Linked DNA regions of Macaca mulatta. The protein of the gene in region 5 binds, or shares a complex with, the protein of the main gene of each other region. Links are inferred from orthologs where the notes say so. Each region holds a gene or a part of one and is shown on either strand. Other genes may lie near its edges.

Region 1 (4,399 bases), on a different chromosome or scaffold from region 5:
AAGTTACCAGCCCCAGGGATGAGCTTAAGCTGCCTCCTACCCTTCAGGAACCTCAAAAGATTTACAGAACCTCAGGGTCTTGATTTGAGGGGTTATAAGAGGTACGAGATCTGGCGACTTCTGCGATCCCTTGGATCAGGAGATGGGGCATGGGGTGAGCCAAGGTGATGGGGTGACTGTAATGTACTCATTGATACGCAAGTTTTTTGTAAGCAAGGCCATGCCTTGGGCCACAGGTAAGAGTCAGAACCTGTCATTGTGCTCTAGGAACTCCCAAGTTTGGTAGGTGAGACTGACCCAGGAACATAGAATATAGTGTGATCACTATTGGATGTTCCACGACTACAGGGACTTTGGCTGTTTTGTGAACTGATGCATATCCAGATATAACAGTGTGTGGCACATAGTAGACGCTCAGCAAATATTTGTTAATAGATGCATGAATTAACACTGGATGAGGATTAAGCATAGAGAGCTGGACATGTCCAGAGAATGGGGTCAGAGAAGGTAATCAGGAGGACATTGTACTGAGTCTCGAAGACAGTAGGCAGACCAGGCTGCATGTGCAAAGTCCAGTAGATCAATCAGGAAACATCATTTCTCTATGTCCAGTGAAACAGATTGCTCACCCCTCCACCCCCTCACCCCTCACCTCAGAACATGCAGTGGCAGAGAGGTGTCAGGCTCTGCGTGACTTTGATATGTCAGATGGGTAATGTGCCAAAACAAGATTTGAGGGTGGGCGCATTTCACACACGCGGAATCACACGCGCATGAACAACAAATGGATCACTATACAATTTTGGACGGACTTGGACCTGTGTTCAGGGCCCAAGGGAAGACATGGGGGAGGAGGGGCGTTTAGGAAAAGAGAACTGATGGTCAGCTTTGTGCGTTAGATTTACTATGGGTCCTGTTAAAAAAAAGGCAGAATTAAAGATAAAAGCCTGAAGGCAGAGAGGTCAGTGAGGTGACTTCTATCTCCTCCACCAGGATTTATCTCCGCTCCGCGTCAGCATGTGAAGGAGTATAAGGTCCCTTCTTCCTGTAAGTCGCAGATCCCCAGCCCAGGTGCAGAATACACCCTCCGTGTATTCACCCCCAGCCCAGCTGGGCGATACACCCTCTGTTCCCCTACTGGGTACCGGTCATCTGGATCTTCTGTGTGTGCACCCAGGCTGTACGATCTAGGAGCGTCAGGCCTGGATCCCACTCGCCCCTCGCATGGCATTTAGAAGAGTATATCACGAGGGCATATAAGGGCATTTGGTACGAGTTCGCTCAATGGCCCAGAGAAGTGGCCTAGTGGCCACGAGAACGCATAACACTATTCACGACGGCCACTTCTGCCAGTTTAGAGACTGGAAAGATGAAGTCATGTGATCCGCCCCTCCCTTTCCTCGCTTCACTTGCCTGCGTGTCCGGTTACGCCTTCCTATTGGTTGACAACGATCACGCGCTAGCGGGCGGGACCGGAAGCCGGGGTATTGCCTGAGGCGGCCCAGCGGCTCCGGGAGAAGGGATACTGGGGGTGGCGGCGGGTGGTTGCCTGCGGGAGGCAGTTGCGGGTCATGTGACCGGAAGGGCTCCTGACGGACGCCGTCCCTCCTCGGCGCGGCCTGAGCGCCCGGCCTGACCCCTGCCATGGGGTGCTGCTACAGCAGCGAGAACGAGGACTCGGACCAGGTGCGGCCGCGGCAGGCGGGGCTCGGGAATGAGGGCTAAGACCCTGGGGCTTGGGGCCCCAGAAAGAAATCTGCGGAGAACGGGCCAGGACTGCAGGGCTCGATGAATACGGAGGCCTGGAGGGGACAGATTACACAGGAGACGCCAAGCCGGACTCCTACCCCAGTTAAAGCCCCAGCTTTCTACGCGGTCCCCGCCTCGGGGTGTACAGGCAGCCGCCTGTCCGGCTCGCTCCCACCACTTCCGTTTGCTCCTACCTTCAAAACTTTCCAGATTCAAGGATCCTCAGTCTAGGTCCCCGGGAAATACTCCCTTCCCAGCTTCCTGTCTTCTCTGTATTAGTGGGTTTTGCGAATCCATTGCAGGGGTGGGTAAGCTGAGGCCCTGAGTTAGGCTGTCCTGCGATGAATCAGGAATTCATGTATCGTCTTAGTCCCTGGGGTTGCAGAAGGAAGGTCGCTGCTAGTTTAGGGCCAGAGGACGATTCTGGAAGTTGGTGGCCTTTGAGTTGGCCAATGAAGGATTTAATGGATACAGTGAGGACATCGGGACATGGGGGAAATTGTCTGGGAAGCAACAAAGAGGGTTTAGCTTTGACTAGATTGTGGTAAAAGAGAAATGGAGCGGGAAGTTCATTTGGGTCTGAGTTTGGCTTGCCTCAGTGCAGTCTGCCTGGGGCCTGAGGGTTCCTTTAGCTGGAGACATGCCTGTTCTGAGAATTTGGCTGTAGATCTGATCCCTCTGACGAAAGGCTTAGGCTGGGGAGACCTGTACAGTTTTAAATTCTCCCTCTTCCTCTTAGTGCATTCTCACTTCTCTCCACATTCTAATCCCTGCCCCGCCTGGCCTGACATTCAAGGATGAAGTCACAAGTTGCTGTCCACTCTTTTTTGATCGTCTCTAACCCTGGATTCTACATTTGAACATATAGTAGACCTGAGAAAGTAGAAAGGTTTCAAGTAGCTCACAGTCTAATAGGGGAGATGGTCACAAAAATAGATTATATCACTGGTACTTGGGAAGTAGTTATTTCTTCAGTGAACGTATTTTGGATTAAGGGCTTAAGCTTAGGAAAATGTCATTTGTGGCCGGGCGCGGTGGCTCAAGCCTGTAATCCCAGCACTTTGGGAGGCCGAGACGGGTGGATCATGAGGTCAGGAGATCGAGACCATCCTGGCTAACACGGTGAAACCCCGTCTCTACTAAAACAGGCAAAAAAAAAACTAGCCGGGTGAGGTGGCGGGCGCCTGTAGTCCCAGCTACTCGGGAGGCTGAGGCAGGAGAATGGCGTGGACCCGGGAGGCGGAGCTTGCAGTGAGCTGAGATCCGGCCACTGCACTCCAGCCTGGGAGACAGTGAGACTCCGTCTCAAAAAAAAAAAAAAAAAAGAAAATGTCATTTGTATGGGAAGCAAGGGTCGCTTCTGGTTCTCAATTCTTCATACACCCAATGAACACATATTTCCTTTGCTCTGTGTTAGGCATGTGTCATGCCTAATACCTCTCACTTCACCTCCACCTTTTTGAGAAAGAGACAACAATAACCCTGCCTACTGGGAGAGCTGTGGCCTAGTGGGAAATTGTCCCTTAAAGCATAATGTGGACTCTTGCAGGGAATGAGTCAAGAAGGATTAATGCCTTATGAGAAAGGATACCAGCTTCTACTTGGAAGGGAGAGCTGGGCCTGCTGCTCTCCTGAATCTCTACCTTCTCCTTGGTGGGCTCTCCTTTCTGTTCCTAACACCCAGAGAAGATGTTTAATCACTGCTGGGTGATTTGAGGCCTCACGTAGCAAGAGCCGTAACCATCCACCTCCCAGAGTCCCTCTTTCAGTTCTTGGGCAGGCTCCTCTCCCACTCTCATCTCTGTCTCTTTATCACAATAAAAAATGTACAACACATTACAGTTTACAAAGGGCCGTGATAGTTATCTAATTTGACTCTTGCCAGACATCTGTCATATTAGTGTGGGTTATGTCTATTTAAAGGTGAGGAAAAAGTTCAGAGAAGCTAAGTGATTTGGCCAAGCTGGGAAGTGCTAATGCCCGGGTGTTCTGATGCCAAGCCATGTACTTTATCCATGGGGCCAAGCAGTCTCATCTATGCCCCTAGACCAGGTGGCCAGTCATGGGCAGGGTGCTATGTCTGTGCTAAGGTAGACAGTGAAACCCTGCCTCTTGGGTTACACTGACGCAGAGACAAACCTTGATGTGACAAACCTAACCCATGCTCCACTCGCACTTCGGGAGTGGGGTGATACTTGTCTACTCTGAAGGGGGTAGCATGGCCTCTTCTTTAAGTCTAGGTTTCAAGAAAACAACCTTGTTCCTCCCTTGATCTTAGCTGAAGGCTGAGAAGTGATCAGCCAGCCTTCTTCTTGAAGAACCCCTGATAGGGAAGAGACTACCCTGTCCTGCAGGAAGATCTGTCTGAAGTGGAGCTGGGAGAAGGACAGACACATAGGAAGCTAACTTGGGCCTCATTATGGAGCCAGCTTTCCTTAGAAATACATAGTTTTATCTTTGGCAAACATTTTGTCTTTTTAGCTCTTTTAATACTGAGCCTGTGTTTTAGGGAGGAAGGGTGTCTGGGAGTTTACAGAGGTGATGGGGCAAAGCCCACAGCTTCTGTCTTTTGCTGCTGGGAACTGGATCAAATTGCCTGAGGACACTTGGGCAACCTAGGCTTGAGAAAGAAGAGTAAGGTGAAAAGGCT
Region 2 (3,677 bases), on a different chromosome or scaffold from region 5:
ATTTGCAGCAAAAAAATGTTAACCTTCTGCAATATTCACCTTCTCTCTACAGACACTTTCTGCTGAACCATTTGAAAGCAAGCTATAGGGCCCTCGACATGGCAGCACCCAGGAGAACAAGGGCATCTCCACAGCTGAGACCATGACTGCAGCCAGGAGGGCCCGGATGGATGCACCTGATATCCAGCCGCGTGCTCAAGCCCGGGGCACCTGCCTGCTTGACGGCTGCTGTTCTTTGGATCCAGGAGCTACTACAGGACCATGATTGTTTTTCGTTGCCATGTCCTTTTTCTTTCTTTCTCTTTCCTTCCTTTTCTTTTCCTTTCTTTCCTTCCTCCCTGCTCTTTCTCTCTCCTTCCTTCCTTCCTTCTTTTTCTTTCTTTTTTTTGAGACGGAGTCTCGCTCTGTCGCCCAGGCTGGAGTGCAGTGGTGCAATCTCGGCTCACTGCAAGCTCTGCCTCCTGGGTTCACGTCATTCTCTGGCCTCAGCCTCCCGAGTAGCTGGGACTACAGGCGCCCGCCACCACGCCCAGCTAATTTTGTTTTCGTATTTTTAGTAGAGACAGGGTTTCACCTTGTTAGCCAGGATGGTCTCCATCTCCTGACCTTGTGATCCGCCTGCCTCGGCCTCCCAAAGTGCTGGGATTACAGGAGTGAGCCACCGCGCCCAGCCCCTTTTTCTTTCTATTTTTTTGAGATGGAGTCTTGCTCTGTCACCTAGGCTGGAGTGCAGTGGTACGATCTCAGCTCACTGCAAGCTCCACCTCCCGGGTTTACGCCACTCTTCTGCCTCAGTCTTCAGAGTAGCTGGGACTACAGGCGCCTGCCACCACGCCCAGCTAAATTTTTGTATTTTTAGTATAGATGGGGTTTCACCGTGTTAGCCAGGATAGTCTCGACCTCCTGACCTCATGATCCGCCCACCTCAGCCTCACAAAGTGCTGGGATTACAGGCGTGAGCCACCACACCCGGCCTGTCCTTACTCTTTAACCTAGAACAGCCTCTCCCCACACCCCATTATTAACTTCCGTGACACTGACACCTTAGGAAAGTCCAGCCTGCTGTCTCATGGCTTCTAAGAAGACAAACACAGCTTTGAAACACAGTGTGAGAGAGAGACCACAATACCACGTTTCACCAAACCCCAACAGCCTCAACGCAGTCCCACCTCCAGAGGAATTCCAGAGCCCTTCCAACCTTCATCGACATAAGCAATGGACAAGGAAGGTTTCAGCCGAATGCAGGATTTTGATGGAATGAGTGTTTTCATCCAGAAGCCCCAAGGACATCTGCCATGAAATCAGTCTCACTCCATTTTCCAAAACAAGTAACTCTCTTCTGATGAATCAGTGCTCATTGGAAAAACACACACAGGAGAATCTTGTAAGAAGGCAGCCTGCCCTTGTAATCCAGCAACCCGCACCCCTCTCTCCCGGCATCTGACTCGCTATACCCGGAGGCAACGCTGTTAGATTCTGTCATGTCTGGCAGGCACACATGTACATACATCACCCTAAACACACACTGCCTATTTCTTCTAATTAATCATATTCCATGGTTTGGCTGCTGTTTACTACTATGGTTTGTATGCAGGTTCTCTCTTTTTTTTTTTTTTTTTGAGATGGAATCTCACTCTGTCACCCAGGCTGGAGTACAGTGGCGCAATCTCGGCTCACTGCAACATTTGCCTCCCAGGTTCAAGTGATTCTCCTGCCTCAGCCTCCCGAGTAGCTGGGACTACAGGTGCACACCACCATGGCCAGCTAATTTTTATATTTTAGTAGAGATGGGGTTTCACTATGTTGGCCAGGCTGGTCTCGATCTCCTGACCTCGTGATCCGCCCCCCTCGGCCTCACAAAGTGCTGGGATTACAAGTGTGAGCCATCGCACCCAGCCAAGAATGACCATGACTTTCAATGGGCAGGGTCCAGGCTGCATCCAAACCAATTATGGTGCTGTTCAATGCCTTTAGGAGGTTCTTAGAGGATTAGAGGACCATGGGATGCCAACTATGTGGGCTTTTCTTTGAAGATACTTAGGTCATCATTGAAAGGTGAGCACTGATCCTAGGGCTAATACCCCCGACGCCCCGTGCCCCCAGCCACCCACCGAGGAGGCTGTCAGTCACTTCCTGCAGGGTTTTGAAGATGCAGGGTCCAGAGGCAAGGCGTGTGGGCAGGGACGGCTGGGCTCTCCTCCCGAGTTCCTGATGTGCTTTGCCCCTGCTGCCTACCTGCCTCATGTGCCGGAGGGACTTGAAGACTGGCAGCTTCCGGGGCTGCCAGCTCCCACAGCCTGAGAGAGAGGAGGACTCTGCTGTGCCCTGGGTCAGCTCCCGCCCTTCTACACCCTCCGTCAACACAGGGGCTTTCTCTTCCTCTTCAGCCTCAGAGTTGTCCCAGCTTTCTGATTCCTCTTCTAAATCTGCAAGACAGACAACACGGACAGTTACAAATACAAACAGTCTTGTCCCCTGACTTCAGCCCAAGGCACATGGTGGGCTGAGCCAGTCAGTGTAGATTCCTGGCTGCGGCCAGGTCCCATGCTCCCTGCTGCTCTGGGAGCCCTGGGGTGGGAGGGAGGGCTCAGTTGCTGTCTACTTAGCCCAGGGCACCACACATCTCTCTTAGAAGCACCTACAGAAAGACCGTCAGCTGTTCTTTGCTGGTGAGAAAACTCAAACCAGTGAGAAAAACGCCAACAGTGTGTCTACGGAGCACACCCAGTCGGCCACAGTTCTTGAGGATCTACACATTGTTTCTTTTTTTTCCACTTTTTTTTTTGAGACGGAATCTTGCTCTGTCGCCCAGGCTGGAATGCAATGGCACCATCTCGGCTCACTGCGACCTCTGCCTCCCGGGTTCAAGTGATTCTTCTGCCTCAGCCTCCTGAGTAGCTGGGACTATAGGCGCTTGCCACCACACCTAGCTAATTTTTGTATTTTTAGTAGAGACAGGATTTCACCATATCTGCCAGGCTGGTCTCGAACTTCTGACCTCATGATCCGCCTGCCTCGGCCTCCCAATCCACTTTTATTTTAGATTGAGGGCGTACGTGTGCGGCTGTTACAAGGGTATGCTGCGTGGTGCTAAAGTTTGGGCTTCTATGAATCCTGTCACCCAGACAGTGAACCACAGGAAGTAATATGCCCAGATAGTATCCGATAGAAAGTATTTCAGCCCTTGCTCCCCTCCCTACCTCCCTCCCTCCCTCCTTCTGGAGTCCCCAGTGTCTACTATTCCCATCTTCTTTGAGACACGGTCTGGCTCTGTTGCCCAGGCTGGAATGCAGTGGCACGATCGCGGCTCACTGCAGCCTCAATCTTCTGGGATCAAGTGATCCTCCCAATGAAGCCTTCCAAGTAGCTGGGACTACAGGCATGTGCCACCACGCCCAGCTACTTTTCATATTTTTTGTGGAGGCTGGACCTCCCTATGTTGCTCAGGCTGGTCTCAAACTCCTGAGTTCAAGCAATCCGCCTGTCTCGGTCTCCCAAGTGCTGGGATTCCAGGCATGCACCAGTGCCCAACTTCACTCTTCTTTATGGCTGCATCCAACATCATTTCATTTAGTCCTCTCAGCTGTTCTGACGTCAGCACTATTATCTCCATTTCGCAGATGAAGAAATGAGTATTTGCCATTTCAATGAATCTTCATGGAGCCCTCACAAATGAC
Region 3 (4,224 bases), on a different chromosome or scaffold from region 5:
AGCTACTCAGGAGGCTGAGGCAGGAGAATGGCGGGAACCCGGGAGGCGGAGCTTGCAGTGAGCCGAGATCGCGCCACTGCACTCCAGCCTGGGCAACAGCGTGAGACTCCGTCTCAAAAAAAAAAAGAAAAAAAAAAAAAAAGAAGGTTGATCAGCATTAAAAAAGAAAAAAGAAAAAATGAAGTATATTACATGTAGTAGGAAAAGTATTGTTTCATGACTTTTGTTTTAGTGGGTATATGTGTGTGTTGAGCTGTGACTTAAAATGTCTTTCTTAAAAAATTATTTCCTATTTATTTATTTATTTATTTTTAAAAAAAGTTTTTGTAGAGATGAGGTCTTGTTAGGTCACCAAGGCTGGTCTCAAACTCCTGGCCTCAAGTATCCTCCAGCCTCAGTCTGTGTTGGGATTACAGGAGTGAGACACTGCGCTCAGCCTTAAAATGTATTTGTTTTTTGTTTGTTTGTTTGTTTTGGTTTTTTTTTTGAGATGGAGTCTCGCTCTGTTGCCCAGGCTGGAGTGCAATGGCGTGATCTCAGCTCACTGCAACCTCCACCTCCTGGGTTCAAGTGATTCTCCTGCCTCAGTTTCCTTAGTGGCTGGGATTACAGGCACATGCCACCATGCCTGACTAATTTTTTGTACTTTTAGTAGAGACAGGGTTTCACCATGTTGGCCAGGCTGGTCTTGAACACCTGACCTCATGATCTGCCCGCCTCAGCCTCCCAAAGTGCTGGGATTACAGGCATGAGCCACCGTGCCGGCCCTTTAAAATATATTTCTTATGGCTGGGTTGTGGTCAAAACGTTTGAAAGCTATTTCCTTATAGCACCAGCTCTAGGCATCCAGTAGGAGTCTTATGTTGAACTAAAAATGGCATTGGTTGTGCAGGGGGTAGGGGAGAGTAGGCAGTTGAGTTACTATGAAGATCCTTCCTGGAGAGTTCACCCTCTGGCCGATTTGAAAAAAACAAAAGTAAGTTCGGCAAACTTTTACTAGGTATTCATTGTATGCCAGGAACCAAGCACTGCACTCCCTGCCTCTCTGACCTTATCTCCTACTTAACCCTCCTCCATTCTCATGCAACTCCAGCCATACCAACCAACCCTGTTGATCCTTGAGCAGGCATAATTCTGCCTCAGGGCCTTGGTACTTGCTGTTCTGTCCAAAATATTCTTCCCTCAGATAGCCACATGGCTTGTCCCCCACCTTTCTTCACATCTTTGATCAAATATCACCTTTCCAGTGAGACTGTCCCTGACACATACGCCCAACAAACTCATACTCTTTAACTTCCCTGCTTTCTCTCCATTGCAATTTCAATACCTAATATATACTACATATTTTACTTATTTTAAAAAATGTGGCCGGGCACAGTGACTCACACCTGTAATCCCATCACTTTGGGAGGCCGAGGTGGGTGGATCACTTGAGCCAGGAGTTTGAGACCAGCCTGGGCAACATGGCAAAACCCAGTCTCTGCAAAAAATCCAAAACTTAGTGAGGTGTGGTGGTGCATGACTGTAGTCACAGCTACTCAGGAGGCTGGGGCAGCAGGATCACCTGAGCCCAGGGAGGTCGAGGCTGCAGTGAGCTGTGATCGCATCACTGTGTAAGATTTATTAGGTCTGGGGGTTTTGTCTTTCTGTTTGCTGTTTTTTTTCCCTAGTCCTGAGAACACTGCAAGGACCTAAATATTTGTTAACTGAACAGATACTAGGAAGTTCACAGTCTAATGGCGACTTCCCCTTTCTGGACTTCATTTTCCTTTCTTTGTAACCTTAAGGGGTTGGACTAGGGTCTGGAGACTGCCATGGTTCTGTGAGTCGGTGAAGCTGGGATGACAACACTTTGTGTTTGCACGTCATTCTACTGTTTATACCCATTATTTCATTTGACCTTCACAACAACCCACGAGGGAAGCGGGGAGAGGGAAATTGTCTTCTCCTTAGACATGAGGTAAGGAAGCTGAGAGAGGTTAAGCGACTTACCCAAGGTTCCACAACTGATAAGTGGATGGCTGAGACCAGAACCCAAGTCAGACCTCTCAGGTCCAGGGCTCCTTCCTCACCACCACTTGATGAATAGGGTCCTGCCTATTACAAATGCTGCTGCAGACCAACTCTTAGTAATCTTCCGGAGATCCTGTCCCTGCCCCTCCAACCATCCAGGATGGGGTCCAGGTCGCCCCCTTGGGATCCCCTTGGGGGACAGGGGAAGTCTGGCTCCCCTCTCCATACCATGCAGTCCATGAGGATGAATTTGAGATTGTCTTCATTAAATGCTTGGTTCCCGTTCCGGTCGTAGGCGGCCCAGATGTTACTGGCTATGGCAGCGGTGACCCGGGCGTCAGTGTCCCCGTAACCAGAGTAGGCCAGCAGTGATCCCTCGTTATTCAGCAGCCTGGTGAGGGGCGGGGAGGGATAACGATGTGCTCAGCGCGGGGAGTAAAACGTCTGGGTTTCCATCTCAAGTCCCGCCACGGGCACATCCAGCAAGGCTCTCGGCTGAGTGTGTCCCGGAACGTGCCCTAAGCACCCAGCACACCGGCCTCCCTTTTCGAGAGGTGACCTCCCGGCCGGTACCCCCAGCCACTGCCCCCTCTGACGCCTCCTCCCTTCCGGGCGATCCTTCCCCACCCCTCCCTCAGGGAGTCGCACGCCGCTCCACTGCAGCGCGCGCCGCTGGGGTCCGTGGTCCGCACTCACAGGGTGCTCTGGACGCCTCCAGTGTTGGCTTGGCTTAGCACCTGGGTCAAAGCCTTGGGGCGCAGCATGCCTACCGCTCCTAACCCTGGGTTTTTGCACCCAGATCCTCCGAGATGCCTCCCGCGGGCCGCTGCCCGCTGCTTCCCGTAGTCCCGTTGGCCTGCTCCGGGATGCCCTGGGAGTTGTAGTTTCCTCGCCTGGCTATTGTGGTTCCGACTCAACACCGCCCCGCCGCGGGGGTCTCTGGGAATCGTAGTTCCTCGTGACCTCGCGAGGCACCATGGGAACTATAGTTCGCCTTTCCAGGCGGACCACGCGGTTGTGGGGGCGGAAAAGAGCGGGAGTGAAAGGACAGCTGCAGCGCTGGAAGGACATTTAACCCCTTCGGGGAGAAAGGAATCAACGTGTCCGCTTGGCAGTCCACGATTCAATAATTATACTACATCCTCATATTTGTCAGGCGCGCCTTTGGTTACTTTCAAAACAGTTTTCTCCGTTATGCACAATTCTGTGCGATGAGGCGAGAGGTACTATTATTATCTTGAGGAAATCAAGGCTCTGAAAGGCCACGCAGCCAAAACCCAGCTCCCTGGAACCGTTCGCAACAGACCATTTAGGCCGCGACCCTCGGGGCTATAGGGTCAGTCCTAGAGCTGAGATCCTAAGTGGACGTGCTTGGTGGGAAACCCAACCTCCAAGTCGGGAAAGGCCCCTGGCCTGGAAGGGACTTGGGGCTTCCAAGAAAGACCAAGTTATCACAGGGAACGGAGATAAAGCGGCGACACACAAAGTCCTTTGTCCCGGAGCAGAGTTAGCCGCGGAGGGGGCGGGGAGGCTTTGGGCCGGAGGGGACGGCGGCACGGCTCGGGCGAGCAGCGTTGGGCCGCGGTCTCCCGGGGAGTTCGCCCTCGCCCCCGCAGTGAAGGGCACGTCCCTTCCCCCGCCCAGAGCCTCCCCAGGAGCCCCAGCTTGGCGAGACCCTGGCCGGATTCCGGACCTGGGGCTTGGCCCTGGGCGGACCCCGCTGCAGTGGCCCCCCCGGTCCGCCCGGGGCGCTGTGGCTGCGGCTGGTCTGGAGGGGGCGGTGAAGCCTCAGGGAGGGGAGGGGAGAGGAGGGGAGGGGAGGGGAGGGGAGAGGTGGAGAGAGGGGAGTGTTGGAGGCGCAGGAGCCGAGCCGGGCCGGCCGGGCGGGCGGGGAGGAGGAGGAGCCGGGCGGGCTGGCGGGCGGCCGGGTGGCGGCGGCGGCATGGCGGAGCCGAGCGGGGCCGAGACGAGGCCCCCTATTCGGGTCACCGTCAAGACCCCTAAGGACAAGGAGGAAATTGTGATCTGCGATCGAGCCTCGGTCAAGGAGGTAGTACAGCAGGCGGGAGGCGGGGGGAGCGCGGAGGAGGGGTCTGCGAAGAGATGGGGGCCTCCCTGACGGTCTGGCGTCCTGGAGGGCCCCGGAGAGGAGAGCGGGGGCCAGCTGGGACTCCGAGGAGCTGAAGGGAAGGAGAGTCGGGTAGGGGGCGC
Region 4 (4,390 bases), on a different chromosome or scaffold from region 5:
GGAGGATATTTAGGAGGCTACTCAGGAGGCTGAGGTGGGAGGATCACTTGAGCCCAGGAGGTCAAGGCTGCAATGAGCCTTAATTGTATCATGGCACTCTAGCCTGAGCAACAAGTGAGACCCTATCTCAAAAAAAAAAAAAAAAAAAGTAAATTTTACATGGTTTTTACAATAAAAATTTTTAATTAAAAAACGGTATCAATATTGAAGATATTGTGAAGAAACGGTAATCTTCATGCATTGCTACTGAGAACACAAAATGGTAAAACTATTTTGGAAAAGTTTGACAATTTTTTATGTTAAACACAACACTTAGCATATGACTCTGCAACTCTACTCCTAGGTATCTACCCAAGAGAAATGAAAATATATGTCCACATAAAGACTTATACACAAACATTAACAGCAGCATTATTTATAATAGCCCAAATCTGGGAAAAAAAAACAAACCAAATGTCCTCCAACTAGTGAGTGAATAAACAAATCATGGTATAGCCATACAATGGAATACCATTCAGTGATAAAATTGAATTAACTAGCTGGGTGTGGTAGCTCATCCCTGTAAGGCCAGAACTCTGGGAGGCCAAGGTGAGAGGATCCCTTGAGCCTAGGAGATTGACGGTGCTTTAGGCGAGGTCGCGCCACCACACTCCAGCCTGTTGACAGAGACCCTGTCTCAAAAAAAAAAAAAAAAAGAGGGAACTAATAAAAGCAACAAACAAGCCAGACACAAGATTATGACAGAAAGTATCAGTGACTGCCCTGGGTGAGGAGGGGTTAGGCTGCAACACAGCATGAGGGAACTTTTTGGGTAATGGAAGTGTTCTAAAACTTCATAGGGGTGGTGGGTATACAACTGTATACAATGTATGCTTAAAATGTATTATACTTTATTGTGTATAAATTATAGCTCAATGAAATAGTTTTTTAAAAACCCTGGGTTGATTAGATCTGTAAGTTACTAGCTATGTGACATTAACCAGAATGGTTTTTTTTCCTTCAGATATGCCTATTCTGTTTCATCAGTTTTCATTGCTCACAATCACACATTTTATTTTTAAAGTGAACAATTCTATAATGTACTGCAGTTATTGGGCTTACAGATAATTCTTACTTCCACTGGCAGAAATATATACTTATCTGCACTGCTACTTGCTCTATCTCGTAAGATTGTTGTGAAACATCAAATAAGATAACTGATGAGAAAGTTCTTTGGTAACTGTAAAATAGTATTACGCAACTATATAGTAGACTTTACATTTTTGAAAAACAGACGTGAAAATGTTTTTTCATATGAGCGACTTGAGACCCTTGTAAACCTAGGTACCCAAAGTCAATCTTTGCCCAGAAATAGAAAGCAGTTGTCTATTCAAATGCCACCTTTGAAATATCCTATCGAAACCTGTTTCCTACTGTCGCTTGAGTTAGTAGATGGCTCAATGTAGTATCATCTAAGCTGCACTTTCATTTTTCAAAGGAAAAACACTAAAGAAATGTTTAGAGAGAGACAGATGAGCATGACACATTTATTTTTCAGGGGAAAAGAGAGATACGTAGAAAAATGTCTTCAATTCCATATGCATTTACTGAATGTTTCCTGATGAGATCTGCATTAGCAAGAGAGAGTGAATAATTTTAAGAATAGCAAAATTTCTTAAACCAGTGTGGCACAATCATTTCAACTTTGCCTGTTCCAAAATTTGACAGATTCTCTCTTTTTTTGTTGTTTCTACTACTGTTGTACAACTGGGCTCTTTGCTATCCTACCAAGTTTGTGTGGTATTTGACATTTAGCCTAGTTATATTTGCAAGTTTCCACACTGCAATATTTACAAAGGCTGTTTGGACATAATCTCCTCAGGTTTAACGACTAAATTTCACCTTGAATTCAGGTTTATATCAAATCTTACAATTCTGAAAAGCTACTCTGCCAGCAACAGGTACTACAACGAAAAATCAACAAAGCCTGTACCACCACAAAATGCTCTGCTAACATTTTCAATTTTTAAGACTCCTTTTCAGTAACAGTTCTAAAGAGGAAGAATCTACGGCCAATTCCAAGGCCAGATTTCATTTAATGTTGTCTTGCTTCAGTAGTAACTCTAAACTCAAGTTTCACATTTCTCCTTCGATAACATTAAGGTCGCTCGGTCCGGTTACCGCACACCTCCAATTTTAGCGTCCAAGAAACCTGAAAGAACGGCACCTTGCCTACTTGCTCCTCCAGCCTTCTCTCAACTCAGAAGCTTGGCCAAACGTGCCGCTCTCTCCACAACGCCAACGGAGCTGGAACGCAGCGCCCGGAGGACAACTGGTCACGGGGAGGAGGGGAGAACTTCGCCGCCCGGAGTACGGCGGCTGAGGTCCAATCCAGCCCGCGCCCAACTCTACTCGGTGCCAGGAAGGCGTGTGGACCCGAAGTCTCAGGCCGCGGTGCTAGATCCGGAGGAGCAGAGTCGCGCGTGGCTGGGGTCAGGTAGTAAACAAACCGACGGGAGAAGGGGGAAGGGGCAACGGCGAGGCGGGTGGGGTAAGAGAAGAGGTAGGACCTCGCTCCAACCCTTCAGCGCGAGCCAGCAGCCGGCTCCACCCCACCGAGGACCAGATGCTGGTCTCGGCGCGGCGCTTCCGCTTGGGTCGGAAAACCGAAGGCCCCAACACCCCTGGAGCCCAGAGTCCACAAGGCCATCGGCTCCGCGACCCCCGCCCCACAGCGCCCTACCTGAACCCGCAATCTGGATCCCGGGCGTCGCGGCCGGGCGCGCCCAGCCCGGTCTTCTTGCTGAAGAGCTTCTGGAACAGCGTAGGGGCCATGCTCCCCACGGCCAGGCAGGGGTCGCTCCGCTGGGCGCTTGGTAGGCCCCTGCTCCTAGAGCCGCCCCGCCACCCCCATGGGCGCCTCAGTCATATGACAGAAATTAGTCACTTCAAACGGCCACGGCGCGCGGGGCGGGGCGCGAGGCAAGGCCGGCGCTCATTGGCTGGAGGTGGGCCGCATCACGTGGCGGCGCGCGGAGCAGGGGCAAGGCGGGGGCGTGGGGTGGAGCTACCTCCATTAGGCGCACTGGCGTTTCCCGTCACGTGGCAGCTCACGGGGCGGGGCGTGTGCCGAGAGGACAAGACTGGAAGGTGGCTAGGGATGTGTAGGGGGAGTAGGCTCAGTCTCGATCCTCCTCTGTGAGGCTGTCGGCTACCATCAGAGGCTGCGCCAGGGTGGCGCGGGGACGATGCCAGGAGCCTTGGAGTGCAGAAGCCTTCGACTCCCCGCACCCACAGAGTTGCGTAGGGAACCATGGGCAACCTATTCTCCCTTGTCAGCCCCTCCTTAGCTTCTGCGGCTTCACACCTCCATTCCGCGCCGGGGAGAGTCTGGCGGCCCCTGGAGCACGGAAGGCGCACGAGCGTACCCGTGGGGCCTCGGCCAAGGCTGGACTTTGAGCCCAGGACCCCAGGCCCGCCCTTAGAAGGCCGCTCCGGCCCGCGAGAGGTCTGGGATCTGGACAGCGCGGGGGCTGGCTCACAGGGACTGGTGGAGGAACCTGCCGGGACCCCTGCCACAGCCATGGCTCCCCGCAAAGACGACCTCGGGCAGGGACTGCGGGCAGAGTTTGTACTAGTGCCTCAAACCCTGACATCAGGAATTAGTCTCGTGGAAGAGCTAGCGATTGGAGGCTCAGGAGTTAGGCTGTTTCCTTGGTAACCAACAAAATCAGGTGAAACCAACGAAGTCAGGAAGCCTAAAGACATGTATGTACAGATATCTAAACTTTTACGCTAATTATTTAGATTTTTAATCTATCTTAATGGTTAGGTGTGAAGAAGGGAGGAACTGTGGAATTTTAACCAAGTTACAGGGAAGAAACGCTTTCTAAAAAAAGAAAAACGTTGCTCACATGTGACCTCACAGTCTTATTTAACCCATGGAACCAAAATATACCAGAGTTTGGAGCAAACTAATCTTATAAATTTTCAGCACCCCCATCCATTCACTCACTCCCCCTCCAGGATAACGAAGCTTGTACAATGGGATGCAATCCTCAGAGAAATTTAGGAAATAACTTGTATATGGTTGGAAGGCTGGATAAAAATACTTTGGGCAGGCGTGGTAGCTCACGTCTGTAATCCCAATACTGCAAGGCAGAGGCAAGCAGATCGCTTGAGCTCAGTAGTTCCAGACCAGCTTGGTCAACAGTAAGACCCCATCTCTACAAAAAAAATTTTTTTAATTAGCCAGGTGTGGCCGGGCGCTGTGGCTCACGCCTGTAATCCCAGCACTTTGGGAGGCCATGGCGAGTGGATCACCTGAGGTCAGGAGTTCCCAACCAGCCTGACCAACATGGTGAAACCCCATCTCCAAAAAATTAGCCAGTATGGTGGCGCATGCCTGCAA
Region 5 (2,893 bases):
CCATCCTGGCTAACCCGGTGAAACCCCGTCTCTACTAAAAATACAAAAAACTAGCCGGGCGAGGTGGTGGGCGCCTGTAGTCCCAACTACTCGGGAGGCTGAGGCAGGAGAATGGCGTGAACCCGGGAGGCGGAGCTTGCAGTGAGCTGAGATCCGGCCACTGCACTCCAGCCTGGGCGGCAGAGCGAGACTCCGTCTCAAAAAAAAAAAAAAAAAAAAAAAAAGAAACATGTTCCTGTGTGGTGGCTCACACCTATAATCCCAGCACTTTCGGAGGCTGCTGAGGTGGGTGGATCACTTGAGGTCAGGAGTTTGAGACCAGCCTAGCCAGCATGGTGAAACCCCATCTTTACTGAAAATACAAAAAACTAGCCTGGCATGGAGGCACATGCCTGTAATCCCAGCTACTTGGGAGGTTGATGCAGGAGAATTGCTTGAACCCAGGAGGCAGAGGTTGCAGCGAGCCAAGAGTGCACCACTGCACTCCAGCCTGGGCGATAGAGTGAGACTCCGTCTCAAAACACAAACAAACAAATCAAAAAAGGAAGTAGACTGGAAAGGAGGTGGATAAGGATAAGGTGAAATTTGATGGCCCAACTTTAGACATTGAGTTTGATGTAAAATAGCAGTTAATATATATTGCTAGCTCAGCAAAAGGAACTAAATCTAGTGGAGGCCCATATCAAGGAAGAGGGAAGAGGAAGTTGAGACAGTCACCAGAAAAGAGGAACCCTAAGCCACTGTCCCATCACTTACTCTAGGGGTCAACAGAGGGAGGGATTCAAGGACAAACGGAATGTTTATGTTGGAGATTGTGCAAACAGGGCAGCAAGTGTGAAGATTGAGAAAAAGATGGAGCCATTAACAGGTCAGTGGTGGGCAGGCATTCATTTCGGAGAATGTGGTTTTATCAAATAGGCAGGGACATGGGAGAAATCCAGTTTCACGGGGTTAGAAAAGCATGGGTCAATAAAGACATGGATGGCCAAGCACGGTGGCTTACGTCTGTAATCCCAGCATTTTGGAAGGCTGAGGCGGGCAGATCATTTGAGGTCAAGAGTTTGAGACCAGCTGATTAATATGGTAAAACCTCGTCTCTACTAAAAATATAAAAAATTAGCCAGGTGTGGTGATGCTGGTATATACCTGTAATCTCAGCTACTTGGGAGGCTAAGGCAGGAGAATCACTTGAACGCGAGAGGCCAAGATTGCACCACTGCACTCCAGCGTGGGTGACAGAACGAGATTCCGTCTCAAAAAAAAAAAAAGAAAAAAAAAAAAAGAGAGATGGATAAGCTGCTGCTCATCCGGGAAAGTCCAGTATTACGGGAAACAGGATGGCATCTGGAGGGTGACAACATAGGGGGAGATTTCAGGTTTTTTCCAAAGCTGGGTGACCCAAGGGTACTGGCAAGCCAAGGGGGAGATGGTCTAAGTGTGAGAGCCAAGGGGACTGTGCCTGGAATTCCGTCCCGAGCCTGTGCCGTAATGCTCGCCCCCTCCCTCCTCCGTCTGCATGCAGTCATCTGGGGACCTGGAGAATGACGAGCAAGCAGCCAGTGCCATCTCTGAGCTGGTCAGCACGGCCTGCGGTTTCCGGCTGCACCACGGCATGAATGTGCCCTTCAAGCGCCTGTCTGGTGAGCCCCTGTCCCTGCCCTTGGTGGTAGTACTGGGAGGAAGGGCCGCTTCCAGAGGCTTCTCTTCTTCCTCCCAGCCTCCCACCATCTCCTCCTGGGGTCTCTGGTCTGGCCACTTTCCTCCCTTTGGGACTCCCCTGTATTAGAATTGTGAATGAGAAGGCAAGAGAAAGGAGATGTAGCAGAGGCCACTCATCTTCAAATCTCTGAGCCTGGAACGATAGAATTTCTTTGGCTTTGATCCCAGCCAATGTGCGTGTGGCCCCGCCCCATGGAGTCTGTTGCACCCACTAACTCTGTGCTCCCTTCCCTCTCCTGGGGCGGGGGAAGGTGTGTCTCTCCTCCAGTGGTCTTTGGAGAACACACGCTGCTGGTGACGGTGTCAGGACAGAGGGTGTTTGTGGTGAAGCGGCAGAACCGAGGTCGGGAGCCCATTGATGTCTGAGCCTGCCGGAGGGCGAGGGTCGGAGAAGCGGATTGGGTCCTGGGCCTCTGTGATGAGGCAGGCACAGCCGTCAGTCTTGGCTTGCTGCTAGAACTAGGGCCTTCTGCTCGCCCACCTCCTACCCCTACCTGGATGGGCCAAAGCTTGGAGACTGTGAGCTGTGTTAAGGAGAACAAGGGCAAGGAGACCTCCCTTTGTGCTCCCTCTCTCCCTCCCTAATAAACATGAGCCTGATGTTCTCTAGCCCAGGGACATGTGTGTTTAGTGTGGGAATGATTACACCCCATGTCTGTCTTCCACCTTCTGGGGAGAAAGTCATGCACTTTAGCCCAAGTTGGGTGTGGCAGGGGTGCCTCTGTGTGCTATAAAACTGGGAAATAGAAAAAGCTGGAGGGGAAGGGAGTCACTCTGAGCCCTGGCGACTTCTGCTCTTCCCATCAGTACACAAACTAGTCATCCTTCTCCCTCCTGAACAGGCATTTAATAGTCTTATTTCAGTTGGAAGCAATAGTTGGAGAATAAGTTACAGGAACAGACCAAAAAAAAAAAAAAAAACCACAACAACTTAAAGTGCTTCAGGCTGCAAAAGTAAACATGAGGGGCAGGAGGCCACCTGCCTGGCCCTGTCCCCAACCCCTGAGACAGGACGGTCACTGTCAGGGGCCCTTAGCCATCACCACCCTCTAATCTCAGCCCTGCAGGAGGGAGGGAGGGAATGTCAGAGGTGGGAAAGAACTCAAAGGGAATGAGGAAGATACTTTGTAAACTTAGAACCAGGGTAAAGGGCGGGGGGCAAGGGAGCTCTGGA

Evidence for each region.
Region 1: LAMTOR4 (region 5) and LAMTOR1 share a complex: the UniProt entries of both Homo sapiens proteins name them as parts of the ragulator complex. The link is inferred for Macaca mulatta from reciprocal best matches to the Homo sapiens genes LAMTOR4 and LAMTOR1.
Region 2: LAMTOR4 (region 5) and FLCN share a complex: the UniProt entries of both Homo sapiens proteins name them as parts of the lysosomal folliculin complex. The link is inferred for Macaca mulatta from reciprocal best matches to the Homo sapiens genes LAMTOR4 and FLCN.
Region 3: LAMTOR4 (region 5) and LAMTOR2 share a complex: the UniProt entries of both Homo sapiens proteins name them as parts of the ragulator complex. The link is inferred for Macaca mulatta from reciprocal best matches to the Homo sapiens genes LAMTOR4 and LAMTOR2.
Region 4: LAMTOR4 (region 5) and FNIP1 share a complex: the UniProt entries of both Homo sapiens proteins name them as parts of the lysosomal folliculin complex. The link is inferred for Macaca mulatta from reciprocal best matches to the Homo sapiens genes LAMTOR4 and FNIP1.

The regions. Positions count from the first base shown.
Region 1 is NC_133419.1:72,398,446-72,402,844, reverse strand, and holds the start of LAMTOR1 (ragulator complex protein LAMTOR1), read left to right. Parts: upstream 1-1,481; 5' UTR 1,482-1,644; coding exon 1,645-1,686; intron 1,687-4,399. UniProt on the Homo sapiens protein: Key component of the Ragulator complex, a multiprotein complex involved in amino acid sensing and activation of mTORC1, a signaling complex promoting cell growth in response to growth factors, energy levels, and amino acids.
Region 2 is NC_133421.1:18,770,454-18,774,130, forward strand, and holds part of FLCN (folliculin), read right to left. Parts: intron 2,427-3,677; coding exon 2,236-2,426; intron 1-2,235. UniProt on the Homo sapiens protein: Multi-functional protein, involved in both the cellular response to amino acid availability and in the regulation of glycolysis.
Region 3 is NC_133406.1:110,879,317-110,883,540, forward strand, and holds the start of LAMTOR2 (ragulator complex protein LAMTOR2), read right to left. Parts: upstream 2,903-4,224; 5' UTR 2,778-2,902; coding exon 2,710-2,777; intron 2,405-2,709; coding exon 2,242-2,404; exon of another isoform or gene 1,224-2,241; intron 1-1,223. Other genes in the region: UBQLN4 (ubiquilin-4), read left to right, coding at 3,956-4,063. UniProt on the Homo sapiens protein: As part of the Ragulator complex it is involved in amino acid sensing and activation of mTORC1, a signaling complex promoting cell growth in response to growth factors, energy levels, and amino acids.
Region 4 is NC_133411.1:140,714,556-140,718,945, forward strand, and holds the start of FNIP1 (folliculin-interacting protein 1), read right to left. Parts: upstream 2,911-4,390; 5' UTR 2,815-2,910; coding exon 2,723-2,814; intron 2,477-2,722; exon of another isoform or gene 2,336-2,476; intron 1-2,335. UniProt on the Homo sapiens protein: Binding partner of the GTPase-activating protein FLCN: involved in the cellular response to amino acid availability by regulating the non-canonical mTORC1 signaling cascade controlling the MiT/TFE factors TFEB and TFE3.
Region 5 is NC_133408.1:47,471,219-47,474,111, forward strand, and holds the end of LAMTOR4 (ragulator complex protein LAMTOR4), read left to right. Parts: intron 1-484; exon of another isoform or gene 485-1,286; intron 1,287-1,522; coding exon 1,523-1,640; intron 1,641-1,970; coding exon of another isoform or gene 1,971-1,987; coding exon 1,988-2,085; 3' UTR 2,086-2,328; downstream 2,329-2,893. UniProt on the Homo sapiens protein: As part of the Ragulator complex it is involved in amino acid sensing and activation of mTORC1, a signaling complex promoting cell growth in response to growth factors, energy levels, and amino acids.